7 linked regions of the Bombyx mori genome follow. The protein of the gene in region 6 binds, or shares a complex with, the protein of the main gene of each other region. Links are inferred from orthologs where the notes say so. Each region holds a gene or a part of one and is shown on either strand. Other genes may lie near its edges.

Region 1 (4,287 bases), on a different chromosome or scaffold from region 6:
AAAACATATAAAATGGCAAAAAATTTGAATTTTATTTTGTTTATTTATTGTTGGCAAAGATAACACATCAAATTCGTTATGCGTGATATAGTCTGTACATTAAATAAAATACAATATATTAACACAATAAAAAAAAAACATTACAAAAGCGATAAAACTACATTACAAACCAGCAGGTTTCTCATTGACTTCAAGTGGTTTAAGTCCAAGTTTAGCTCGTAGACGATTGGTCTCTTCAATGGACAAGCTCTCTTGTGCTCCACCACTCTGTGTTTGTACTGGAGACTTGGTTTTCTCACGTTCATACTCAACACTCTTGTCCCTATAAAAAGTAATAAAAATAGTTCGTAATGTAATTTCAAGATAGATAAGCTAACAAACCTACCCAGTGGAATTATAATTATAATAATACTTATGTTACCCATCAAATTGTGTATGATTAGATAGATACAGAAAAGAAGATGTTACTAATCATTGCAAGGTCATAAATAAGTACAAGAGTTCAAGAAGTAGTCACTTCAGTCAATGTTCAGTTTAGTTTATTACCCTTCAGATTCATTTTTCTCTGGCCGATGCAAAGCACGCATGCGGCGATCCCGATCTTCACTGTCTCCTCGAGAATGGTTAGTCTCGTCATCCTTCAGCTGATGCGAGTCGACAGGCACTTCTTGAACTGTAACAAACAGATATCTGGTGTTTAATCCTAATTTATAAATCTCAATTTCTTATTGTGGACAGATTATAATGTAACAACATTCGTTTTGTATTATTTCAGCGTAAAAATCATTTCGTGGTGGCAGATATAAGTGTATACAAACAGATAAAAGTCTGTTAATTATATTGTTTTGTATCTATGTATGTATGTATGTTTTTTATTTATTTATCTATGTTTTGTGTATAATATATATATATATATATATATACTATCTGTAGACTATACTATACTATGTGTATACTATATTGTATTAATTCTACTGTGTTGAAGTAAAACTTTACTTCTAATGTTGTAGCTGTAATCAATGTTCAGCTGATTTTAAACACATTAGTGATGTGTAGGCTGGCTGGTTTGCCTTTATAAATTAATGCAACCTTTTGATTAAGAAGTAAAGAGGATGTGAATTTGAGTTGGTCATAACAAATAGAAAAAAGAAACAAACATAGATATAGCGACAGTAAAAATAAACAATAAAACTGCAGTATGAAGTACTAAGCACAGAACAGAATCAAAAATTCTATTCCAATGAATACTGCAGGACAATAAGGACAATTCCTAGCTAAAAATAATTACTTGTTGTTTTAGTGAATTTCTATTTCAACAACCCACAAACCAAGAAGAAAGCCTGCAACCAGACTCAGTGTAAAAGAGAATGTGGATTTCACAGGTCACACAATCTTTAATTAAATACACTACTTACAGAGAATAAAAATATAACATTTTAATGGTTTTTTTAGTGGCACCATGTTCATTCACTGGGTTCATCATTTATTTTTGTTTTAAAGAATAGTCCTTGCAAAACTTAATTAGTAGTAAAGTACAATGGCCATTTTCCTACATTTCAGTTGATAGTTGTAATGTTGTATTTGGACAGACAAGTTTAGCTGATTTGATATGATTTACTACAGTCCGCAGGTGCCACAGTGTAACTGCGACATAAGACATGATGTTGAATCTTAGCTGTGCTGTGATAAAAGCATACTTCAAAGCTAGACTAGGTTTTTTTTTTAAATTGTTGTTATTGTTAATATTAAGTATGTGCTGGTGGTTGTCATTGTTTTCAAAGATTTCCGATAAATGTTTGTCTTATTTTACAGGCTCTTTTATTGTTTGTTTCTAGAGGAAGTTTCATTTAGAATGAATTGATACACATTTTGTGATTTATGGCACTATAGAATAAATAATTATACGTAGAAGTATGATATTGGTACTTTACAACATAATTATTGGTGATAAATTGTTAGTACATTGTAGTTCATTTTGTTTCCTGTATTATTTTCTGCAGCAAAAACAACTTTACTCAAATCAGGAACCTTCCATCGTTTTATTAAATACCTACCTCTTAATGACGGAGCGAGGGACGCGGTGGCTGAGCTCCAGTGCCACCGGGTCTGAAATAACGAGCAGACAGTGTGCCATTATCTTGTCATAATTAATAACAGCCAGTTCTGTTGATGACCTATGCAATTCATTATTTAAATCAAACAAACGGTTTTATTTGGATATACAAGTTAGGATGTGAATCCGTATTTCATAGTTTTGAAACGTGGTTTTTTGGCACATAAGATCATCATCAAAGGCTGGCGTTTGTTATCTTTATCGAAAGTGTTGTTACTGACCGTCAGGGGAGCGCTCTCGCTTGCGATCTTTATGTTTCCTATGCCTTTTTCGTTCACGTTCTTCACCTTCGAGTGGCGAACGGGACCTACTCTTATGCTTCTTTTTCTTTGCTTCTTTCTTATGCTTTTTTGAACCCATTCTTGTTTCTTAAATAGTCTCTTATAACAAAATTATGGGTACAAAATAAAAACTATAAAATATTAAAAAATCGTATTCTCGACAAGTGTTCTGTTTGTTTCAATAATCACAGACAATTATTATTAAAGATACTACGTAGTGAAATAGTGCGCCATTTTATTTTGCAAAATATAGTCTGGATATATTTGTGGTCCTATTTCTATTCGTGTCTTACAAATGAACAAACTTATAAAGCTATTTCTATTATGCAGTTAAACACGTTTCATAGGGAACAAAAAACAGACCTGGAACAAGAAATGCCAGTGACAGCATTGACAGATATATAGTAGTAGTTTTACTTTTTCAACTGGAAAGGCAAAGATGTCATACCATACCGCCTGATCTTTTATAAATTTATTTAATGTTTTATAAGAAAAATGATAGAAGTGAAATGAAATGAAGTTGATTAATATGAAACATGGCATGAAATGAAATGAGATAAGATGAGATGATATGGGATGAAATATAATCTCAGTGAAATGGTGGTCATTTACTAAGACTTTTTCAGTAGACTTTTTGGAGGATCCCGAGAAGTTACGTCCAGCGGCTTTGTTTTATTTTCTTACATTTGTGCATTTTCACAAATACTAAACAGTAAATAAACCACCGTTATTACGCATTTAAACCTGAAGAAACACTAAATAGACAAAATTAAACAAATCACATAACTTCACTCCTCGCGCTCCCGCCAATAACCAGATATTTGTAATAAACTAAACATTTCAAAAACAGATAGATACAATAGGTACCGAATTTGTGGTAGCATTAATTTAGTTTTTCCAATTATTTTTAGTATAAGGCTTGAATTAAGCCTTCTCGGAGTTTAAAACCTGTGAAGCTACCGACCAAATTAAGTTAATTACATTAAGTTGTTACTGGAGCCGATAGACATGAACCATGTAAAAAATGAGTTCTAATTCCCAGTGTTCACAGTATAATGAATGAACGATGAGAAACGCTTATCTGCTTCACAGCAGAAATGGGCAGGGCGGTGGTAAATGTGGCGGTGGCGGATGAAATTGCTCAGTAGGCCGACGGTCCTGTTGCTATTATTCGGAACTTGTATTTAGGAAAGCTTGTCTTGAAAATGTTAGTGAGATACAGGTATCTCTCAATTCAGTTTTTATAAGCATTAGGTACCTGTTTACTTAAGAAGGTTTAGTATATAGAAGATTACAAGTCCTTTTTCCTAATACAATACCCTATTTTAGACAGCTTTGTGGCTTCGAGACCATCGGTTGTGTCGTATGAGGTCGAGCGTTGTCGTGGAGGAGCAGCGGGGACGTGCGATTGACAGAGTCTGGCCGGGGATTTGCGAGCTTCTTTTTTTTATTATTGCTTAGATGTGTGGACGAGCTCACAACCCACCTGGTGTTAAGTGGTTACTGGAGCCCATAGACATCCACAACGTAAATGCGCCACCAACCTTGAGAATAAGTTCCCCTACCCTTCAAACCGAAACGCATTACTGCTTCACGGCAGAAATAGGCAGAGTGGTGGTACCCACCCGCACGGACTCACAAGAGGTCCTACCACCAGTAATTACGCAAATTATAGTTTCATTTTTTATTACACGATGTTATTCCTTCACCGTGGAAGTTAATCGTGAACATTTGTTGAGTACGTATTTCATTAGAAAAATTGGTACCCGCCTGAGATTCGAACACCGGTGCATCGCTCAACACAAATGCATCGGACGTCTTATCCGTTAGGCCACGACGACTTCTACTTGGGCTTCTCCACCATTATGTCCAGCTCACAGTGCACATTAATAG
Region 2 (4,192 bases), on a different chromosome or scaffold from region 6:
ATTTTATCACCAGCTTTAAAAGCTGTGTTGCTGAAGGATGTGGTATGAATCTTGCATATTTTTTGATAATTTTTATTGTTCACAATAATATAGGGGAATCTATTCGAGAGCATCTTGTTCATTATGAAGTTCGTTTATGTAACTATTCAGGTGGTCTTACACACATTTTGTAGAAAAACTGTAGCTAAATTGACGATCCTCAAATCCTGCGTAGTTTTCAAATTTGACATCATATTTATAACGTCTTGATCAGTTATTTCAGTTTTTGTTTTCTCATTGTACATATATATCAATGTCGTTATTGTATCAGCTACAGTGTCTGTATCACTTGACTTCAATAATCGAAACAAAGGTTTTAATCCCAAGTGAGTTAAAATATAGTCTGCATTCAGTGGATCTGAAAAGTGATAATTCTTACATAAACATGTGAAATGTGAAATAGCAATATGATTTTATATAGTGTCAAATTTTTAAAGATGATTCTAGCGTTTTTCTAAATTTGGGATTTTACATTGCTTAGATGGGTGGACGAGCTCACAGCCCACCTGAAGTTAAGTGGTTGCCGGAGCTCATAGACATCTACAACGTAAATGCCACCACCCACCTTGTAATGAGTTCTAAGGTCTCAGTATAGTTACAATGGCTGCCTCACCCTTCAAACCGAAACGCATTACTGCTTCACGGCTGAAATAGGCAAGGTGGTAGTACCTACCCGTGCGGACTCACAATAGGTACCAGTAATTACGCAAATTATAATTTTGTGGGTTTCATTTTTATTAAGCGATGTTATTTCTTCACTGTGGAAGTCAATCGTCAACATTTGTTAAGTACGTATTTCATTAGAAAATTTGGTACCCGCCAGATACCCGCCAGATACCCGCCGGATTCGAACACCAATGCATCGCAAGATACGCATGCACCAAACGGAGTATCCTTTAGACCACAACGACTTCAAAATGTTTGATTCAAAATGACTGATAAATCTTTAGTATTACTAATTTCTTTTTTAGCAATAATTTATTTCGGGTCTATTGCTATTCTATTGCTAGTCTATTCCTGCGGGATCTTCCCGGGGATTGGATCCCGTCCTATTGTCAGGACGGGTACCGGCGACGGCGAGCCTGCGGCGCGCATTGTGCGGTACCGTAGGTTTCGTGGAGTCGGAGTAGTGGAGCTCGATGGGGTTTAGTCGGTAGTCGGGTCTATTGCTATTTTATTAATGCATTTGCTATTTTATTCTTTCTTAATGAAAATATTATTGAGAATCAGAATCAAATTTTTTTTACTTTTTAATTACTACTTTCCTTACTCTTCTAATTATTATCTTGAATACTGTCAGTAGTGTGGTGGCAGCATGTGTTGGTACTACTGTCAGATATAACATTAATAAACCATTTCAGTCTAATGGGCTTAAGACTTTCCAATATAATAAAGAGAGTTCCAATTTAATGGTATGTAGGGACAGTTACACAATATTGAGGGGAAAATGGCTATTTGGTATAAGCAGCATTGCACTTAAAACATTTACAAGAAAACGGTGCAAGCTCACTACATATTATTGGGCACTTTCAATTTTAATTTACTTTAAAATGCACTAAATCACATCTTATCAACACTCACAAATATTCAAATAGTTCAAGTATTTAATTAAATTTAAATAGAGCTACTTTGATAATCTTAAATAAATTATTGTACATAATAATATAAAGAATACTTTTATTGAACAGGTTCTTTCTTATAAGAGTTTTCATAAAAAAATTGACAGTTTAATTGAACTTATAATAATTTGAGAAAACTATTCATCTATTGTTATCAACAGCTTACCTAAACACAAATTGCAGACACCCGCAATGGCATACCTTATTAATCTACCAATAGTTTCATTCTTCAGCACATACAAGAATATATCTAGTACTCCAACGTCTCTAATGTATGAGTAGTTCACAGGATCATATGCAAAATTTGCCAAATTGGCTAAAACTTGCAACTTTGCTTCTGTAAGGAAAAATAACATTAACAAATTGCAGTGCCATGGAGAGAGCCGTGGAGAGACAGAGATAGAGAGAGATAGATTACTTTACTACACACCAAAACACAATCATCATTGTGTCACACAATCATCTCTTCTAAACAACCTTTTTTATCTAGAGAAATTGTGAAAAAGATCCAACAGGTATGTTATTAATTATTCAGAAACAGAGCAAACCTTCATGCACATTACTTAATAATGAAGAAAAAAAACTAATGTATGATACAATAAATATAAATATAAAATATAAATATTAAAATCACTATAATCATATCCCATAAGTCACATACACAATTTAATTTTATTAAAACGAAAAATACCATTATCCAAACGCAATAGGGCTAGCTGTACTGTGAGTACTCTTTAGCATTAAGGTCGCCCTTGTTTATGCAATAGTTTTCTAACTATCTAAGATTTTTAAAAGTAAAAACTTTAATGGCAATTGTGAAAGTTCATACGTAAATCGCATTAAAATTAATTAAATAGATATTGCATGTATATTTTATTACCATAGGAACTTGAGTGTAAATATTCGTCGACTAATAATGACAAATATGCCTCGCGATCAGTACCATCTTTTGGGGTACGTTTTTGTAAGTGTGCTCTTGAACTGAACATTAAATTATAGTAACTTAAAAGGCTATAGAAAAAATCCTACTTTGACTGGACCACTTTCATTAAAGTAAATACACATTCCTTATTTTTCCTTTGATTCAATAATTCAATTGACACGCCATGACAGTTTTCTCTGTTGTTTTTGACATTTGACAGGTGGCACAATGACATGCGGAAGGGAACATTTTATCTACCATGACATGGGGTAAATTGGGATCCTGGGGTAAATTGGGACAAACCTGCGGAAGATTCTCAAAGTACCTGTAGCACGGAATCTACCTAATTTTGTTTATGTTAATATTTGTCAATGTATAGAAGAAAAACCAAGTTAACTATAGAAGTACTAAATATGAGTTAAGTTGGTCCCAAAAATTCGTCAAATTAAATTGAAAATAGTGGTTGAAAAGTGCGTTTTAAAACAGCTTAAAGAACTTTTAAAAAAAGTAATATTATCGTTGTTTTTTCAATAAGATCACAGTTTATATAAGTTTTTAATACACCTGGAAATACCACAACAAACGGTAAGTTGCAATATTCTTATTTTAAATACAATATTTCGACAAAATAAAAAATGTATATTTTTTCTTTCCTTTTTGGGGAAAATTGGGACGTTTGTAGGGTAATTTGGAACGAGACTGGAAAAATTAGGGACGAGAAAACACAAAATTGGAACGCCAAAAGACAAAATAGGGATGGCTTGTTAGGGTTGTCACTGATATCTTATAATAGATTTTTTAGCCTATACTATCACTTAATTGCGTGATGTAAAGAAGGTTAATATGTTTATCAGTTAGTTTATGTAAGTATTATAGGTAAAAGAAAAGTATATATATAATTACTTTTTTTTCGCGACATTTACCTTGTAACATCTGCCCGGTCGTATGTTCTTTATAGCAATAAAAAAAAAAAAAAGTTAAAAGAACTCAAACGAATCAAAACTTTTGTTATTTCATAATCTATTCACGCGTCGAATCATGATTTTGTTAACATTCACAACGCACACACAAATAAAAACAGGCCTCAGATTTTAAATGTAACATTAATTAAAAATCCGAGATATCCAATTATGAGTGAGTGAATTAATTGAGTTTAGTTATTTCGCTTAGAAAGAATTTCTTTTATTTTTGTTATTATTGGCAGTAATCAGATAAAGCCGGTTTTTTATCTTATTCACCTGATATCTTACTCTTGCTCAAAGATTATTTTGAAAATGTTGATTAAATAAAATTGTATTATTGCATTTCCAGTCCTTTTGTTTTCTATTTTTTATTCTATTTTATGATTTTGTTTCAGAGTTGTGATTTTTAAGGAAATTAAATAATAATTTTCTAAAATATAACATGCACATACTTTTTTTGATCATTGTATTGTTGATTATCATTCACGTCACATCGCTTCAGAATAGAAACCAGCTTAATTTACACTATGTTGTGTATTGTGCTTAAATTATGGATTGTATTCATCATTTCGGTCCATATAAATAATTATATGGCACCTACCTATATATCGCAGTACTGCGAGTTGACAACCCTTACAAATATCCCAATT
Region 3 (4,040 bases), on a different chromosome or scaffold from region 6:
CTGAGGTGCTGATGTGCAGTGTGAGCTTGTATGGTTAGACACCACTGTCCTGTGCGTCTGTACAGTGAAGCCGTCATGACTTCTATTATTATACTATCTCAGAAGCAGTAGTGGCCAGTGGAATTTGACTAATAATAATTATAGTTAGTTGACACTGCGTGTCTCATAAATAAAAACACTAGTTATTATCCAAATTGTTTTTTATTTGTTTTCAATCTTTTGATATTCACACCCACAACGACACATCCTATCACATATCTGCTGACAGTCTCAGTAAACTTGTTACACTGTTTGTAACTAATCTAAATTCGAACATAAAACATTCAAATTAAAAATATTTTGCATAAGAGGTTGTCGTGTCCTAAAGGATAAGATGCCGAGTTACACACATTTAACAAACATGCATGATTGTTGCAGGTTTTATGCTGCGAAGCATTCCAATTTGCCCATTAAGACAGCATTTATCCCAAACAGTACAACTGGGACTTTGATCTCAAACCTCATGGTAGGTGCAGGCCTTCATAAAGTCTATAGGCTCCAGTTACAGTGCAAAAAAATTCAAAATTATATGGATAAAACATTGTCAAAACTCGGCCATTGGTTAAGTTTGGTTTGTACAAGGCAGTTTATAATAACTTTTTATATTTAATTACAATAGTCACCCCCGCATAAACCACACATAGATATTTCCTCAAGCCAAAACAAGATTGAACTATTACCCATCATATGGACAAGATTTCTAGATTATTGGGACTGATATAAGGATAGAACATAGAGATTAAACATTGTATTGATTGGGAGTCACAATAAGTCACCATAGGGTAGCATCAGTGTGTAGTGTCTATTTGATCAAATGGTCCATGAGACCTAAGATGTGTAAAGCAGATTGAAGGGTGACCAAAATAAAAAAACAGAAAATCTGGAACAGGACCTTATTGTTACATTTGAGAACATAATAATAATCTTTGAACAAACAGTTGTTCTATTTCCAAAATTTGTATTTTTCTCACTTAGATATATCAATATATAAGAATGATAATGAAATAATTCCTTGACAATTGAAATATAAGACAAGTACAACTTAAGCTATCTAAAAAATATCTTAACGCTAGCGTCGAGATGGTCCTGACCCACCTTGCCAGCCTCCACGGTGGCCCCCACCTCTTCCACCTGCTCGTCCTCGACCAGCAGCTGAAAATTTCAAAGATTTGTATTTTACTTCTTGATTCCTCTAGATGTGTGAGTAAGCTTACAACCCACTTGATTAATGATTTACTGTGGCCCACAAACATCAAAATAAGGATGCTGGTTGGCATGATACTTGAGATGAGTATGAAGAGATACATATATTTGATCGCTCAAATGTATTGTAGTTACTGTCCAGCCCGTCAAATCAATTCACATTCCTGTTTAGCAACAGAAATTTGCCGTAATTATTTAAATACACAAGAATGGGTTTTCACAAATGTAATAGATACAGTTATTAGTTTGCATAACATTATGTAAAATAGGTTTTACTTTAGATGTGTGAGATTGTGTGCATTAGGTACTTGACATGGTCTCATCATTCACATATTTTCTTTAACCACCCAAAGTAAAATTGTCAATAACATATAGTTGAATGATTAGAAACAATTAACATTGGAACAAAATACTGATTTGATATTACAAAACTTAAAATTGCAAATTTGACATTGTATGTCTATATAAGCACTCAAGAATGAAAAATTGTAAAATATTCTCAATTACTATTAAAAAACTGTGACAAAAAATATCTATACAGGATATAAACAAACAAGACATTTAAAAAATCAAAGCTTCAAACTACCTATTTTTTGCTCATTTGACCCAATTGATCACTATGTATTCAATGCATTTGTACTAATTTTAATGAAGGCTATTTATTGATTGTAATTAAATGTGCTTATCTTTCATACTTGCATACGTTTTCTACTTAGAAATTTTCGTTTAATAATTTGGTTATATAGTGCAGTAATTGTTAAATAGACTTCACTCAAGTCTAATTTATAACAAGCCTAAAGAAATGGGTTGTTCTAAGCTAAAGATGTTTATTCTTTTTTAAGTCTTTGAATTAAACGAAATTAAGAACAATGCATATTCACAATTTCAGTGCTAGATGTAATTAGACTGCAAGTCAGACAGCACTCATTCATATATTAACACTCGTATGTTGTCTTGTTGATAATGAACACAATCACTACGTATGTGATGCGAGAGAACATTTAGGATACCTAGCTCGATAAACAAATCACATACACACTATTTTTATATTGTTCAATACCTTGGGCTCGCAGTATCGCACTCTTCCCTCGTCCTGCAGTAGGTTTATTCCCTTGTCTTTTGAACATTGGCGCGTTCTTCAACATGTCCGGTAATATTAAAAATCTGATCTTGGAACCACGGATGTACACATTCTCGAGCTGTGCAACTCGGCCATCTCTGTATGTGACTGTTACGAGAGTCATTTGGCAATTCATATTATCCTCAGCTTCAATTAATTTCCCTCTATAAACTTCACCGGTATTTGTTTCACAAGTCACTACATGACCTTCCGCCTCGTGAAGTACTTTAATAGGCACACCGATAGACATGTTTACGTTTTAGTTAAGAAAAACGTACGATAAAGGACAATAATTCAGTATTATTTCTTAGATTATTTACGATAAAAATGGGAAAGAATATTTCAAAAAAATTAGACGCTTCAAATCCATAGACATCTAATGTAATATGGCGGCGAGTTCCGTGCATAGACAATAGACATTTTTATTCATTCATTGACAGACAAAGACAACATAACCCATATTACCAAAAATCCATTATGATTTTTAATTCCCTTAGCATTGTGAAAATCAACTTTACTGGTGGTAGGAATGGTAGGATGTCTGCGAGTCCACAGAGGCAGACAACACTACCCTACCTATTCCTGCCGTAAAGTAGTACTACCTTTCGGTTTGAAAATGCAAGAGCATCGCAGGGTATAACTATTGAGATTTTGCAAAAAGTTAAATGTAATCTTAGTTAATTCCAACCATTTTTCTAAATAAATTACATTTCACTGTACATAGCCTAATAGACCTAGTTTCATTTGTAAAAAAAGCTAGGTGCTTAGGCTTTATGCTTGGGGTAGCAAGGGGGCGTGTAAATAGCCCTCCTGCGGCGGGAGCATATAAAGCGGGGTTGTAGAAAGGCGTGTAAATAGCCGTCCTAAGCGGTATGTGACAAATGTTTGTCACTTATAATTAGCGGAGCGGTAAAACTATATAGCGGTAAACAAAAGCTAGTAATCAAACTAAAGATATAAATTAAATACACATAAGCGAGCGGGCGGGCGAATGATTACACGAAGCAGCAATAAAATGGCAATAAATTAAAAGAACTTGCACTCACCTGTAGATCTTGCCAGTGACTGTCGTGCGGGCGTCGGCGATGGAAGCACGCGGGCGGCGGGAGGGGGTGACGAAGCTCACGTAGCTTTTCGTAAGCTCAAGCACCACACAATATACAAGTGCCGCCATCTAGGCAGCTAGCGGTAAAGCGTGATCGATCGGGTAGAACCACGCTTTGGGTAGTCGCGGTAATTAGTTACTGACAAACTCCAAAGGTGGCGCCATCCCAATAATTCATTAGCATCCCATTACTAAATCCGCGTGACCATCCTGCCCGCCTTGAAAGTTCGCAGGACTTTCAACAAATATATAAAGATACTAAGATAGGAAGCATAAAGCTTAAATAGCGGGAAGTTATTTGAAAAGAAACAAATTTTAATTAATAATAAGCCATCATGAATGTTTACGAGTAGAGTTGAAGCGGTTGATGACATGCGGTACTCTAATTTATTCTAGCGGTAGCGGATATAATTTTACAACTGGACGTTTAAGAAATCCAGATTTCGTTTTTACCAAAGCAACGCGTATAATGTTATCGGCACCTGGATACACCTCTTGTATAACTCCAAGTGGCCAGCGGAGCGGTGGAATGTCATCTTGATGAATAAGAACTACTGTCCCAACCTTCACGGG
Region 4 (3,375 bases), on a different chromosome or scaffold from region 6:
TCAATTTTAAAGCGAATGCTTGTGATGAAAACATATTCAAAGTAAATTATACCTGTCTCTTGAACGTCGTCGAGAGCGTGAACGCGACCGTCTGCGTCTTTCAAGCGATCGTCGACGTTCTCTCGACCTACATTAATTTAGAAATCATTATATAAAAACCCTTTAGGTGCAATTTTATCACAAACATAAAAAAAACAATGTATTATGAATGAATCTTTTATTGTAAAAACTATTGAATTTTTAAATAAGTATAAACAGCTGCATTTATAACTAAAACGATGTAATTTATTCTGCCCTAATCAATAAGCAATTACTAACTACCTATACAGAAAATATTTCAAATGAAAATTCATCATTTAATCAAAGCAATTGTATCCTCACAGATATTACTTAATATTAGTTTATATATCCTGAATTTTCAGCAAAACATATTCTGTATTTGCAACCTTTGGTTGTATTTAATCAGTATAATAAATACTTTTTGGCGGATATGCGAGGAGTTAAGTTTTGTGATTTGTTCTATTTTGTCTATTTAGTGTTTCTTCAGGTTTAAATGTGTAATAACAGTGGTTTATTAACTGTTTAATATCTTTGAAAGTGCAAAAATGTGGGAAAATGAAACAAAGCCGCTGGACGTAACTTCTCGGGATCCTCCCAAAAAGTCTACTGAAAAAATCTCAATAAATGACCACCACTTTACTGAGATTATAATTCATCCCATATCATCTCATTTTATTTCATCTCAGCTGATTAATGTCTCAAATTAATCATATTCATTTCATTACACTCCATATTATCATTTTTCATAAAAATAACATATATTAAAATAAGACATAAAAGTCTTAGATCAGTCTTAGGTCATAAAATCCCTTAAAAAAAACAGAATAAATAATACCCTATTATTTTGTTTGGTGATGGATGGTTTGGTAGTTGACTGATTTTGTTGTTCTCTTTCATATTTATTTCTTATGATAATTGTAAAATGCCTAAAATAAACGAATTTAGACTAGAACTAAGTGTGCAGTTGCAGCTTTAGCATGCGAGGTACCAGTAGAAATCTCTAGTTTCGTGAAATTTTCACAATCTGAGTATTACATTATTGAACGATTGTTTGATAACAGATCACAGGTGCAGGAACAAACGCAACAAAATGTGTGGACCGTCGATTACTAATAGGGTCGTTAAAATTGAACAACAACTTCTCCACAGCCCACTGCCTAGTTTTCACTAGAAATTAGGAGACTAATATGGGCTTGTACCATTCGTAAAACGTTTCATGAAGTTGGGCTAAAAGTATGTAAATCTAAGTAGTCATGATATAAAGGTTCTATGTGGCAATTATGGCATTAATCGAAATGTAGTATCATCGGGTATAAAATAAAGACCCAACAAGAACTCCATAAAAGATTGTTATCTTATTAATTAATAAGAAATTTTATAAAAAAATACTAAATAAATAAATATAAACAAAATACAAATAATAATAATATTGAAAACTGTTTACATTGTTTCATTTATTTAAATATTAGAATATATTGTCCATCATATGGTAATTTTTTTTCTTAAGATATTTGTTATCAATAAGAAAATGGAAAAACGTAGATTCTTGTTTTTCAAAAATTCAGTAACAAAAGTAAAATATATATACAAATATATTTCTTCTAAATCTAAATCTTCAGATGTTGTAATTATTGTAGATTTCAGATAATTAAATAAACACTAGTAATTATAAAAAAATCTATACCTCTCACGCCGTTCTCGTTCACGGCGTCGTCGCTCTCTTTCACGTTCGCGTTCTCTTTCTCTCTCCCGTTCTCTTTCCCTCTCACGACGATCTAACGACCTACGTCGGCTGCTCCTACGGCGAGATTTACTCCTACAAAAAAAATTAAAGTTCAATACTTATGAATCGATTTTAAAGCCCAGGTACGAAATTTTCATAGATAGACAATACATGTGTAAATAGAAAAAAAAAATGTTTATTCAAATAGTAGAATAATTTCTTTCAAGTCCATTCCTTAACATCAAAGTATTTTATATTAAATAATCAGGCTTAGTTTAATTTTAGTTTGGTGTAATGTATATAAGTTGTCTGTTGGTAAACCTTTGCATAAGTGGCTGCTATTGAATACATCACATAAATACGGTGTTACATTTAGTTAGATTTTAATTAGATTTAGTTACATTAGTGAATAATGTTACCTTTCTCTTCGGGAGCTGCGCCTAGGGCTAACACTTGTAGAAGAATCACGATTCGAACGGTATTGTCGTTTTTTATGTGACGATCTCTTCTTCACACTGCCACCTAATAATCATAAAAGTGTACTCATTATTTTACTGTAAGCCAAATGGAATAATTTAAATTTTCTGAAATTTATTAATTACCGCAAAAAAATCGATCAAATTTGACCTTTTTAATTTCAGTTTAACAACATTAGGCGCAAATCACGATTGCGTTCGTTAAATTTAAAAAGAAAATCATTGACTTCATTGTTTTAAAATAAATTAATAATAACCTATCTTAAGCATTGAGTTTAAAAAAAATACAATCCTTTAAATTAAATTAAATTAATCCATCTCCAATTATAAACCAATTAAAAAAAACCCAGAAGGCTAAGTTAAGCTGCCATTGGAGCCTGTACACATCTGTGGTATGTTTAGTTCAGGTTTAGTTCATTCGGCCGAGGCCTCACCTTCGGACAGAAAATAAGTTTATGACAACACAAGCGCTGCCCTGCCACTAAATTTTCCGACCGCTTACATTCCGTTTTGCTTTGCAGCAGAAACACGACGTCACCTAGCGTATCACTTTTTTTTAAGTCGGGAATTATGAGAAGAGCGGTATTGATGCTATAACCATTATATCATCGAATAACCGCTTTATTTGTTATAAATAATCGCTTTAGTTTTTGGCTTTTACTTATTACACAGATTTAATGAAATAAAATTAATTAATCTCTGAAAAACAAGTGTATAAGAAATGTATGTCATAGGAGATGTGGAAGCTACCATTGCCAGTAGAAGAGATAAAATATATTGAAATTTGAAATAGAATTCTGAACATCTGAAGTAATTTTGAATAATTCCTGAATTATTACGCTTACTAAGTAAAATACAATCAAAGAAATGTATAAACGAATAGGTTCAAATGAATGTACTTACGGGATGAAGCTGAAGACGAGCGTCTTTCGCTAGATGATCGGCGCGACTTATCAGCAGGTTTCTCATCATTGGTTTTCTCTTTCTCGTCCGTTGACCTTATATTAAAAAAATAATTAGCTGCGCACACACACATATACAAATAGCGTAAATTATATGATAAGTAGTCGACAAGCAAACCGAAAAACTGAACACTGATGCTTTACAAATATGTAG
Region 5 (4,249 bases), on a different chromosome or scaffold from region 6:
TAAATCGTGGAAATTGCGAATGCTATTAAATTCGGCTTTTTGAACAATGTTCATATTTATTTTATTATTATAAAGAACATTCTTGCATGTAAACCTTGAAATGGTGTAAATTAACAAAATCCGAAAATTTTATGCATAGAAATGTGTAGAACGTGACTTAGTGTCTTAAAACCTCTGTATTTTGTAGCATAATAATATTATGTTCTCTGAGGATGGCTCTGAAGACTTATTCGAGATGATCTCATCATCTCCTTTTTATCACGGTAATTCCAGCTACCGGAGCAGAATTCATCCATTCTAGTTGGCAATGCAGCGTTCATCCACAGAGCGTTTCCAATGATATGTAGCACGGCACGATATGAACTGAACTTTAAAATGAATTCCCCTCCACAGTATTTCTCGAGCGTTATGACATAATAATATATTTCTTTGTTCTTCAAACGCCGTATCAGGAGAGTTTCAGCGGAAGGAAAAAAAGTGGAAAAAAAAAACGCAAAATATTTAATTTAATCAGATTTCTTTCCCACAGATAAGAACCCGGATGTATTAGAGAAATACTTGGCATTGCCTTCGTTGGTCCTAGTTTCTGCGGCTTGAGGATTGACGATTTCCAAACCCTGTGAACAATTATACCTATAGTGATTATTTCATTTTTACTTTAAATATTGTTTTTCGGGTCGAATTGCGACCAAGTAAGTACATTGAAGATAAATGTCTTTAAAAGCAATGAACGTAAAACGTAATGCTAATTGGAATTATCCGTAAGACAATAAATAACACTGGAAGTTAATCATTCATGTCAATATGATTTTCTTTACTACACGATCATGATCAATAGGTCAGGAATGTGTGTTAATGTTCGATAAATTCACGACCAACCTATGTCACTAGGTTACCGAAGCCCTTAAGAATCCACAGCGAGAATGCCACTGCCCGCACTAAAAATACGAAATCGAAAAAGAAAGAGTTGGAGCTCTGAATTGGAATATATTAATCGGTATTCTACTTATAATAATGGTTATCCCAGCAAATTGGAACACCCGATTGCTTCGCGTTAGAAAGAAGCAGGTTTATATAAAACTTCTTACCACGTTTGACAGCTAGATCTCATTCCTAGACATAGATATATGAGATATAAGTTCTAAGGTCTCAGTATAGTTACAACGGCTACCCCACCCTTCGAACCGAAACGCATTACTGCTTCACGGCGGAAATAGGCGGGGTGGTGGTACCTACCCGTGCGGACTCCCAAGAGGTCCTACCACCAGTGACCATATGCATAATAATATGTACTTTAGCTTTCGTGGTATATCAATTTATATAGTTATAATAAGAATTCGACTGCCCAATATTAGAACTGCCTACATTTTTTCTCCCTACCTATGCTGATAGCATTGAGGCTATATCAATCAGCGTTACCCTAGCGTGTACGTGAGCTCTCGGAGTTCAAACCAGGAGGTGTTGCTAACACAGGCCCTAGTAAGAGCAGTGCTTGGCTGAATCTACCACCGGATCGGAACACGCGACCCACTGAGAAGATCCGGTGAGAAACTCAGTGGGCAAGAATATATAGTACAAAGTAAGTAAGTAATGACTTGGTTTGTCCGGTAAATTGCCTGTTCGTGGTGCATATCATTTTGTTGAGGTTTGGTTTTTTAAATCCTTTTATTATATTTTGTTTCTATAACGTCATCGATTTTATCGCCATTCAAAGGGTTCATCCACACGAATCAGGCATGGACAGTTTAAGAAACTAAAGTACTATAAACTTCGTTGACGATTTCAACTAAAAAATAGGTTCGTATAAAAAAAAGAAGCAATTACACAACTACACAACTCTGAGACCAACATTCGTGTATTTGTATTTACAAAAGTTTACAAATTCATAAAACGGATTTTATTTTTATATTAAATTTGTCAGATCGCTTATTAACCCGCACCAATCGTCTACTTTTGCCTTCAAAACTTATACAATTAATGTTTTGTTTTGTACTAGGCTCAATCAAATATACAACATACTTCTGTACGTTTTTGACACGATAATAACATCTTATAAATCGATGAACACCGGCTGCACGCTCGAAAAAGTGTCACGTTCCGCTTGAGACTGAGCGTGCAAGCGAGAGCGCGGAACAAGCGATAGAGACGCACGATCGGCCCAAGCGTTAATTTAACGAAAATAAAAATAATCGAAAATAATACCTTTTTGTATTATACAAAATAATAATAATTCAGTTACCTATAAACGTTCAATTAAATTCATAAAATTCATGCAATGTTTCTTTATGACGTTATCACGTAAAACTATCGTCCGTAAACCGACTTTACAGACAACCAATTTTTTATGCAATCAGAAAAGCTTGAGATTACGCGTAATCAACGACGAAACTCATGAATAGTACTACTCGTATATATCGGCACAAGCTGTGACAAGTACTGCAATTACCACTGATTACAGCACAATCTATTCAATGTTTTCCTCTATATCATGTTGCTTCATTTTCTTATTATGATAATTGTACAATATGGACAGTGTACAGTATGTAATCATTATAATCAATAAAACAGTTTCTGACGTTATAGAAGCTAGAAGAAGAATAGCCACGAGATGCGACTTTGCCGGGGCACAAATCCTGCAGATGGGTAGGATTTTTTAAAGAAATATGCTCATTATATATCACACTAGCTGTACCCGCCTGTTTCGCTGGGCATTTAAAATTAACGTTATTATTTCTCAACCCCACAAAGATTCTCATCACTAACGGAGGAGTCACTAGGGAGTCCAACACTCATATAAATATTAGCCTATCCATTAAGTACATGTATTTTCTACATGGATACCAAGTTTCAAGTCAATCGGATGCATGGTTCAGTTTTATTATATATTAGTATAGATAACATGAATCGCAGGAAAATTTGCATAATTACTAGTGGGCAGGGTGTACTCTCTACGGGTACCTACCACCAAAACATCATGCGTTTCAGTTTGTACTTTGCCAATGCCGTTATGCAATAAAATTGATACTTCGACAGTATGTCAAGGGGGGTAATGACATTTTGATGCCTATGAGCTGTGCCATTTAATACCGAGTGGGCTGAGAGAGCTTATCTGCTCATCGAGGTAATAATAAATATCTAGATATGCGTACAAGAGCAATCATTGTTTAGTTTAGTTTACAGATCAAACTTCAAAGTTTTCTCTTCAATAACCCTATAAAAGGATATCTTAAGAGCATCGCTGTAAGAGAGACGAGAGGGCATAATGTTTTGCTGATTCGAATCGGTTACGGCGAAGCTTCCTAAACATTTCCTTAGAAACTATGTTAGCTTAATAAACATGTCAATTGAATGAAAAAAGAAATATCTACTATAAATGAATGTTAGTTATTTTACGATAAATAGTAATTATGATAAAAAAAAAATTGTCTAATGTTTATCTTTAATTTTTAAATTAACTCACACAGTAGAACAAATCTTCCAATGCGCTTGAAGGAGGCACAGTTCCCAAGATACTGGCTACGTTACCTTGTTGGACAGCCAGACTCACTCTCTGTGCAAAATATCAGCTAGCCTTAGCATCACGTGTAGCCTCCTTCAAGCGTTTGGAGATTTCTGACAAAAATTTCTTTGCTTCAGGGCCCCAAGGGCCCATCGTTTCAACCGCGAAAGGCAAAAAAGAATAAGAAGATCCGATTTTACGATTAATTTTAATATTTAATGCGAGTAGATTATTTGAAACACTTTAAACGTAATTGGGTAATAGTAATAACGATGATCATTTGGAGGTTCTGTGTTATCCGTGCCATTGAAACGTCCATATTAATATTCATTCATGTTATTTAAGGGCTATTAAAATAAACACTAAACTGAATACTATTAAAATAAACATTAAACAGATGATCAGAGATGTCGAGCAAATGGACACTGGAACAAATAAAATTAATTATAACTCGTGTCTCCGTTCTTCGATGCTAGACATCGGTTTAATTTTTAAACTAGTAAACGACATCGACCCGTAGGTAGATACATGAATATCTTTAAAAGTGTTAAATTTATACAATAAATAAATAAAATTTGAGAGACACTGACTTGAAGAACAGATGTGGCGGTTAACATCGGTCGAGAGGAGGGCGTGCCAATCGTAATAATGTATAGCACTCGCAATAACGCCAACGCCGTACCTACATCTATTATGTTATGTAAATACATCAGCATATCTAGAATACCTTCAGTTTCGCTGTCTATGTTT
Region 6 (2,664 bases):
CTCTGTTAAACCAATTAGCTCGGTAACACTGTGTTGTGTCACAACTTCGGATCTCATCCCATATAAAAAAAATATGTATGGGAGATTCCACCCACTGCAAAATTCGATGGGTTGGAAATTCATCTAATATACAAAAATCCACGACAATAACATTAATTCCGTATTATAATATTTTAAAAAGCACATTACAATGTCAAAAGCACATCCACCAGAATTGAAAAAGTAAGTAATATTGGAAGTTTGTTTGTTTCACTCGCAAACAAAGCTGGCGTCCTTGTTATAACCTAAAATTAAAAGAACAGCGTAAATTCTTTAAAATCCCAAATTAGTCCGTAGAAATTCGCATATTTGATGTTTATACACAAAAAAGAATATGTACTTTAAATGGTGCTTTTATATATTTCAGATTCATGGACAAAAAATTGTCAATAAAGCTGAATGCGGGTCGCGCTGTTACCGGTGTGTTGCGCGGTTTTGATCCATTCATGAATTTAGTTCTTGATGAATCAGTCGAGGAGTGTAAAGACGGTCAGCGTAACAATGTTGGGATGGTGGTTAGTATATTTTCAAGAACACTCTAAAGATAGCTTTTGTCCGCGACACCGTCCGCGTGGAATAGTTACTTAGGCATAACGCTAAATTTTACCCCCCACTTCATTTACGTAGAAAGTGAAAGTATTTTTTAAATATAGAATGTTAAGGAGCTGTTTAAATCCCCTATTTTGAAACATTCTTTATTGGTGCTCCACTTGTATTGGTTTTACCGTGATGTTATATAGCCCATAGCCTTCCTCAATAAATAGGCTATCTAACACTGAAAGAATTTTTCAAATCGGACCAGTAGCTCCTGAGATTAATGCGTTCAAACAAACAAACTCTTCAGCTTTATAATATTAATGTAGTATAGATTATAATAGGGCAAGTTTGGTTATCAGAGCCGAAAAAGGTTGCCACTATTGGTGGCGCATTAAAAAAATTTAATACTTTGCATTTTATTTTTTACAGCAGAGAACTTTCACAAACATTTGTTGAATTCTGAAAGAGATTGTCGCTTAGATGTGTGGATGAGCTCACGGCCCACCTGGTGTAGGTGGTTACTGGAGCCCAATGACATCAACAACTTAAATGCCATCACTTAACTTGAAACATGAATTCTAAGTCTCAATTTTATAGTACAACAGGTGTCCTACCCTTCATACTAAAGCGCATAATTGCTTCACGGCAGAAGTAGACTGGGATATTGTATCTACATGTGCTCGCTAAAAAGATACTCTACCACCAGTAATTATGCAAATAATAATTTTTGGGGGTTTGATTTACATTACACAATTCATTCAGGGTGGAGATCATTCATAAATACTCATTAAGTATTGTCACTACAACAATTCTTGATGTTTGAAGTGTATTTAGTATAGATGAGTCGACTATTATCAAAGGCGGCAATGTGACTTTTGGACAATTATTGGTAAATCAGAGAAACGAATTATTGACTTTGTATTCTATTGGCAGTCACAAAACTCTTCTGAACGACATCTTAGATAAATAACAGGTTAAGTATTAACCTTTATTTAATGCAGGTTTTGAACCGTATTCTTTGAAGGAGACGATTATATTCAAATAAATCTGTATTGACATATCAATAACATTTTTTTGTCCAAATGCACAGATTGCCACCTTTGATAATAGACGACTCAGATAGTGTGTTTGATATTTAAAAAATAGTTGTAAGTTACATACAACTATTTTGTTTAGCTGTAAGCATTAGTTTTGCTGTGTCCTTCACATGGTATTTTAGAAATCACTACTATTGCTCAGCAGTAGCTCGTGATTTTTTATGACAAAAAATATTTGACTGTAAAGGAACTGAATAAAACAATTTAATCTTTCTTTCAGGTAATTCGTGGTAACAGTATTATAATGCTGGAATCTTTAGACAGACTTTAGTAGACTTAGAGTGGGCAAGAAATATCACCAATGCTGTAAATGTGCTTCACTTTTCATCAATAAATAAATATAAAACTCGGATCTAAAACTTAGTTTCTACAGCAACAGCAGCAACAGTAAAAGAAAAAAAAAGGAAAACTGATAATTTTATATCTAAACTTCACTATTTAAATTTAATGTGATGTTAGGTTAAGTTAATAAATAATAATGAAACACCTCAGATTTGTGTTTGTTTTGATCTATATATTCTACTAGCGACCCGCCCTCGCTTCGCTTCGGAAACATTAAAACACACATGAAACCAAAAAAAATAAAAAAAGTAGCCTATGTTCATCAGGGACAATGTCGGCTTCTAATGGAAAAAGAATTTTTCAAATCGGTCCAGTAGTTTCGGAGCCTATTCGAAACAAAGAAACAAACAAATCTTTCCTCTTTATAATATTAGTATAGATGAGTCTAGCTCTAGATCATGCAACTACTGCTGTTGGTCATTGTAGTAATGCAATTGGCACAGCTAAGTATCAAACTGAATATACCTTTGAAGAAATAAATTCCTACTCTAGAAGTTCTGGTGGGAAAAGCAGTATTTTGGTATTGTGCAGGTTTTTCAGGTGTTCACTTGTTAAGGCAAGTAAATCGATAGATGAGTCGTCTATTATCAAAGGCGGCAATCTGTACATTTGGACAAAAAATTTTTATTGATATGTCAATACAGATTTA
Region 7 (4,065 bases), on a different chromosome or scaffold from region 6:
GTTGTTACAAGTGATTCAGTATTTTATCAGGTCTGTTCAATTATTTAATCCAATTAAAATCTGTAGTTAGATATACAACAGCTGTAGAAATATACCTTTTTTTTTATTTTTCAATAATCTTGAGGCTATATCGCATACTAATTATAGTTTAAAAACTGATTAGAGATTAATTTAATTTAAAAAACCCTAACTTATTATTCACAGTAAACATGAAAACTTGAAAAATTACCTCGGTTCTGCTTTGAATAGTCTGTGGTAATTTTTTCAGGGTATGTACATGCAAGTTGGTGATATTGTTTCGATGACTGACATTGATGGTGGCACATACTATGCCCAAATTAGAGGCTTCCTAACTGATGAGTACTGTGAGAAGAGTGCAGCTGTTACTTGGTTATTACCTACAAAAGCGAGCCCACCTCCAGAGAAATGTTTTGATCCTGCTACATATATCATTGGTATGAGCTTTTAATAATATTTTAATTAGAAATACAGATATTTGCAACAGGCAGAAGTAGGTGATTAAAGTATTTATTCAATATCTAAGGCATTTTGGGTGATTTTTTTCATTTTGTAAATTTAGTGCTTTAGATTTTCCACTTGTAATAATAGTGACTCATTAAATGTGTATTCGATCAAAGCTCGTGAATAGCAGAAAACGAAATAAGTCGCTTGACACGGCATTTCTAAAAAGCCTGCATTGTTTGATTTCACTTCCTCTCGTCTTGTTTCAATCTATATCATGTAATTTCATCCCAATATAATGAATATAATGAAATAAACCAACTTAATTAAATTCAGCTTAATTTTTTATTTTTATTTTGTAAATATGATTTTTACTAACTCAATACTGGCAACAATAGCATCACGAAAACTCAACTGCCATATAGCAAAAAAAAGAATAGTGTATATAAAAAATGTGACAGTTAAGGTTAATATTGCTGTAAATTTTCAGGCCCTGAAGAAGAGCTGCCTCGGAAACTGGAATACATGGAATTTGTGATGCATGCTCCATCTGATTACTACAAAGCGAGCAACAGTCCATACCCACTGACTGATAATGAACTGAATAATTATACTGGTTTTGTATGGACTTCGATGGAAGCTAAAGAGAGAACGTAGACTTTTATATTTAAGCAAAGTGAACATTTTGTTACAAAAAAATACTGTTTATGTTTAGTTTTATTACCCCATATACCCCGTAGTTAACATTTATTTAAATTTAGAGCACAATTTGAATTTCGATATCATTCACAGTTATAATTTTTTTTTTTTTTTTCCCTACCTAAGCTGATAGCCCTAGCGGCTGTCAGCGTAACCCTAACTTTAGTAGGTGAGCTCACGGGGCTCAAACCTGACGATGTTGCTAACACGAACCCTAGCAAGAGCCGTGCTTCGCAGAATCTACCACCGGATCGGAAACGCGACCCACTGAGAAGATCCGGCGAGAAACTCAGTGGGCTGTGTCTGAGAGTTAATTTACTCGTCGAGCCCTTCGTCGCAAGCGACGGGTTCGACGAGAACGGTGACCGGTGCTTTAAGTACCTAAAAGCACCGTTAGTGGATCAGGAGGATCCGAGATGACGTGTTTTGGGCGACGTCGACTGCTTTCCATTCTGTCCGCAGGATCGGGAATGTAGTTACCAGCGGCCACGATGAGAGGGTTCTCGTGTCGTGCCGCTTTATCGAAGTGGACAGTTATCAATCATTCAATAACACACATCATTCACTTTAATCATTCAAACCAACCAACATTTTTTTTCCTCCAGAAAATTTGGTATAAGTATTCATAGTAGTAAGTAGTAACTATGCTGTTTCCCTAGATCACTGATATTTTTTTGCCTATCTTTCAATGCCCTTGAAGAAGTGGAGCGTATGGAAGCCCAATTATTTTCAGTTAACCTCTTGGGTATTGCATTTTTACCCTACCAAGAAGTTGTTCAAACTTTGGAAAAAGGATAATAGTAAGTCTGTTGGCGCAACAACTTGTGTGTATGGTGGATGCAAAAACTTCCATCCATACCTCTTGTAGCTTAAAGACGGTCGATTGTACCATATGAGGTTGAGCGTTGTCATATAGGAGAAGTGTGGACAAGCGATTAAGAAGGGCAGGCTGGAGATACAAAAGCTTCTTCATCATTGTATCCTGTTCCTCACCATACACATCTGTAGTAATGATGCTATTTGGTAGGAAGCTGTGATGAATTATACCAGAACAAAGCCACTAAACAGTGAACATGACATATTTAGAGATAGATTTTCATTTGAGGCATTGCCTTTGTACTGAACCTCTAGTCCATGTAATGTCCGAGTGCAATAATTATTCTAGCGCCCTCTAGTAAGCGTGCAATCAAGTTGGACTAGGAACAAATCTAACTGCACCAGGAGGACGGGACGGCGCGTCGGCGGCTGCGGACTGCGATGCGGTCCGCATTTTCGTCGTCGCTGTCGTCGCCGAACATACTGTTGAAGAGCAACCCGGTCGGCGGTGTATCGCGTTCCGACCCGGCAGGCTGGTTCTGGCCCAGCGGGGTATCCCGGAACACCAGCGGCACCACCCGGGCGGCCTGGTAGGGCCGCCGTACCGCGGAGACCGACGTCGTTGGTCGTCGACTATCGCCTCGACGACCCGTCGGTCGGGCGTCCTCGGGGTGGCGCCGCGTGTCTGGTTGTAGTGTTGACCGCGGGAACCCCCCTACACTGAACGGGTTCTGACCCCGGACGGAGATCGGACGTCGGGTGTAAGAGTGCAGGGGAGTCGTTTGGTGGGTGGGCCCTAAAATCCTTGGGCCCGCGATCTGCTCTCAACACCTGCAGATCGCTGAGTCTCACATACCCCGCGCGCCCCCTAGGCGCGGGGACCTCGTAGGAGGTTCGGCCCCCGGCCCGAAAAAAAAAAAAAAAAAAAGGAACAAATCTAACTGATTCATTAAGAATGCAGAGGCCGGTGCACCCTAAAACCGCAGCGCGCATCTGCAACTCACACACACCTCGCACCATAGGTAAAGTCGCCTCTAGTTCTGAATCAGGGTGTGTTTGCAACCCGCTTGATGACCGCTTATGATTATAAACAATAATCCATTTTTCATCGCAAATGACCAGCTTGATGTGACCGCTTATGATTATAAACAACATAATTCATCGTAGATGACAATATGCTTCAAGATACCCTAATGGGGTGACGATCGTTCAGTTCGTGTGGGGGTGCCACATATCAAGTTTTGCCCACCAACTTGACCCAAATGAACTAATATTCTTCTGATCCTAACGTTGAAAGCTGCAAAATGTTTTAAATCAAAACTTCTGTGCTGAACCGTACAGGCCAATCGTGCGTTCTTTTGTAGTGTTCTTTCCGTACATACACATTATTTCTTAAATACCAAACATAATATGAGCCGTTTTGCGGCATTGCCACGGCGACGGAACTCTCCATATTCACTCTTTTCTATCGTGTACATATTGATGTAAGATACATTATATTACAAATGTAGTGAAAACAAAACACTAATCAACAAACAAATAACTGGATTTGAAAATAGAATGTCAAACTTCTCGGCATCCTCCAAAAAGTCCACTGAAAAAGTCTCAGTAAATGACCACCATTTTACTGAGATTATTTTTCATCTCATAACATCTCATTTCAATTCATTACATTTCATTTCATGCCATGTTTCATAGTAATCAACTTCATTTCATTTCATAATATTAATACAATTTTTCATTTTAAAAAATTCATTAAAATTAAAATAAGACGACCTAAAGGTATTAGATACCAAGTCATAAAAACCTTTAAAAAAAGATCAAAAGTAATCAAAACACCCGCTTTGACCAATTTGAAAATTTTTAAGTTTCATTTAATGTATTTCGTGTCTTCAATTTCATCAGAATAATAAATAAACACAAAAAATGAGTCGTAAGGAAGCTTTGTCCTCGTTTATACAGCAGATTCACGGTCGCCCAGTTGTCGTTAAATTAAACAGCGGCGTTGACTATAGAGGTTTGTTTTCCTTTCAAATTTTATTTATTAAGTTAGTAATAACAATCACTTCGTCTTTTAAGAACCACATA

The links.
Region 1: small nuclear ribonucleoprotein G (region 6) and U4/U6.U5 tri-snRNP-associated protein 1 share a complex: the UniProt entries of both Homo sapiens proteins name them as parts of the U4/U6-U5 tri-snRNP complex. The link is inferred for Bombyx mori from reciprocal best matches to the Homo sapiens genes SNRPG and SART1.
Region 2: small nuclear ribonucleoprotein G (region 6) and armadillo repeat-containing protein 7 share a complex: the UniProt entries of both Homo sapiens proteins name them as parts of the minor spliceosome. The link is inferred for Bombyx mori from reciprocal best matches to the Homo sapiens genes SNRPG and ARMC7.
Region 3: small nuclear ribonucleoprotein G (region 6) and small nuclear ribonucleoprotein Sm D3 share a complex: the UniProt entries of both Homo sapiens proteins name them as parts of the U7 snRNP complex. The link is inferred for Bombyx mori from reciprocal best matches to the Homo sapiens genes SNRPG and SNRPD3.
Region 4: small nuclear ribonucleoprotein G (region 6) and serine/arginine repetitive matrix protein 1 share a complex: the UniProt entries of both Homo sapiens proteins name them as parts of the minor spliceosome. The link is inferred for Bombyx mori from reciprocal best matches to the Homo sapiens genes SNRPG and SRRM1.
Region 5: small nuclear ribonucleoprotein G (region 6) and U4/U6 small nuclear ribonucleoprotein Prp31 share a complex: the UniProt entries of both Homo sapiens proteins name them as parts of the U4/U6-U5 tri-snRNP complex. The link is inferred for Bombyx mori from reciprocal best matches to the Homo sapiens genes SNRPG and PRPF31.
Region 7: small nuclear ribonucleoprotein G (region 6) and U6 snRNA-associated Sm-like protein LSm6 share a complex: the UniProt entries of both Homo sapiens proteins name them as parts of the U4/U6-U5 tri-snRNP complex. The link is inferred for Bombyx mori from reciprocal best matches to the Homo sapiens genes SNRPG and LSM6.

What each region holds. Positions count from the first base shown.
Region 1 is NC_085118.1:17,264,693-17,268,979, reverse strand, and holds the start of U4/U6.U5 tri-snRNP-associated protein 1, read right to left. Parts: upstream 2,801-4,287; 5' UTR 2,474-2,800; coding exon 2,335-2,473; intron 2,107-2,334; exon of another isoform or gene 2,055-2,106; intron 674-2,054; coding exon 547-673; intron 323-546; coding exon 171-322; intron 1-170. UniProt on the Homo sapiens protein: Plays a role in mRNA splicing as a component of the U4/U6-U5 tri-snRNP, one of the building blocks of the spliceosome. May also bind to DNA.
Region 2 is NC_085121.1:11,321,580-11,325,771, reverse strand, and holds the start of armadillo repeat-containing protein 7, read right to left. Parts: upstream 2,801-4,192; 5' UTR 2,648-2,800; coding exon 2,539-2,647; intron 1,996-2,538; coding exon 1,825-1,995; intron 398-1,824; coding exon 147-397; 3' UTR 1-146. UniProt on the Homo sapiens protein: As a component of the minor spliceosome, involved in the splicing of U12-type introns in pre-mRNAs.
Region 3 is NC_085122.1:328,611-332,650, forward strand, and holds small nuclear ribonucleoprotein Sm D3, read right to left. Parts: upstream 2,801-4,040; 5' UTR 2,613-2,800; coding exon 2,303-2,612; intron 1,192-2,302; coding exon 1,109-1,191; 3' UTR 183-1,108; downstream 1-182. UniProt on the Homo sapiens protein: Plays a role in pre-mRNA splicing as a core component of the spliceosomal U1, U2, U4 and U5 small nuclear ribonucleoproteins (snRNPs), the building blocks of the spliceosome.
Region 4 is NC_085128.1:8,265,078-8,268,452, reverse strand, and holds part of serine/arginine repetitive matrix protein 1, read right to left. Parts: intron 3,258-3,375; coding exon 3,163-3,257; intron 2,306-3,162; coding exon 2,203-2,305; intron 1,877-2,202; coding exon 1,745-1,876; intron 128-1,744; coding exon 53-127; intron 1-52. UniProt on the Homo sapiens protein: Part of pre- and post-splicing multiprotein mRNP complexes. As a component of the minor spliceosome, involved in the splicing of U12-type introns in pre-mRNAs. Involved in numerous pre-mRNA processing events.
Region 5 is NC_085116.1:12,759,030-12,763,278, forward strand, and holds the end of U4/U6 small nuclear ribonucleoprotein Prp31, read right to left. Parts: intron 618-4,249; coding exon 507-617; 3' UTR 501-506; downstream 1-500. UniProt on the Homo sapiens protein: Involved in pre-mRNA splicing as component of the spliceosome. Required for the assembly of the U4/U5/U6 tri-snRNP complex, one of the building blocks of the spliceosome.
Region 6 is NC_085133.1:8,585,515-8,588,178, reverse strand, and holds the end of small nuclear ribonucleoprotein G, read left to right. Parts: exon of another isoform or gene 1-96; intron 97-101; exon of another isoform or gene 102-105; 5' UTR 106-190; coding exon 191-222; intron 223-406; coding exon 407-554; intron 555-1,893; coding exon 1,894-1,944; 3' UTR 1,945-2,164; downstream 2,165-2,664. UniProt on the Homo sapiens protein: Plays a role in pre-mRNA splicing as a core component of the spliceosomal U1, U2, U4 and U5 small nuclear ribonucleoproteins (snRNPs), the building blocks of the spliceosome.
Region 7 is NC_085134.1:2,613,541-2,617,605, forward strand, and holds the start of U6 snRNA-associated Sm-like protein LSm6, read left to right. Parts: upstream 1-1,265; 5' UTR 1,266-3,903; coding exon 3,904-3,994; intron 3,995-4,065. Other genes in the region: GATA zinc finger domain-containing protein 1, read left to right, coding at 1-30, 269-455, 953-1,119. UniProt on the Homo sapiens protein: Plays a role in pre-mRNA splicing as component of the U4/U6-U5 tri-snRNP complex that is involved in spliceosome assembly, and as component of the precatalytic spliceosome (spliceosome B complex).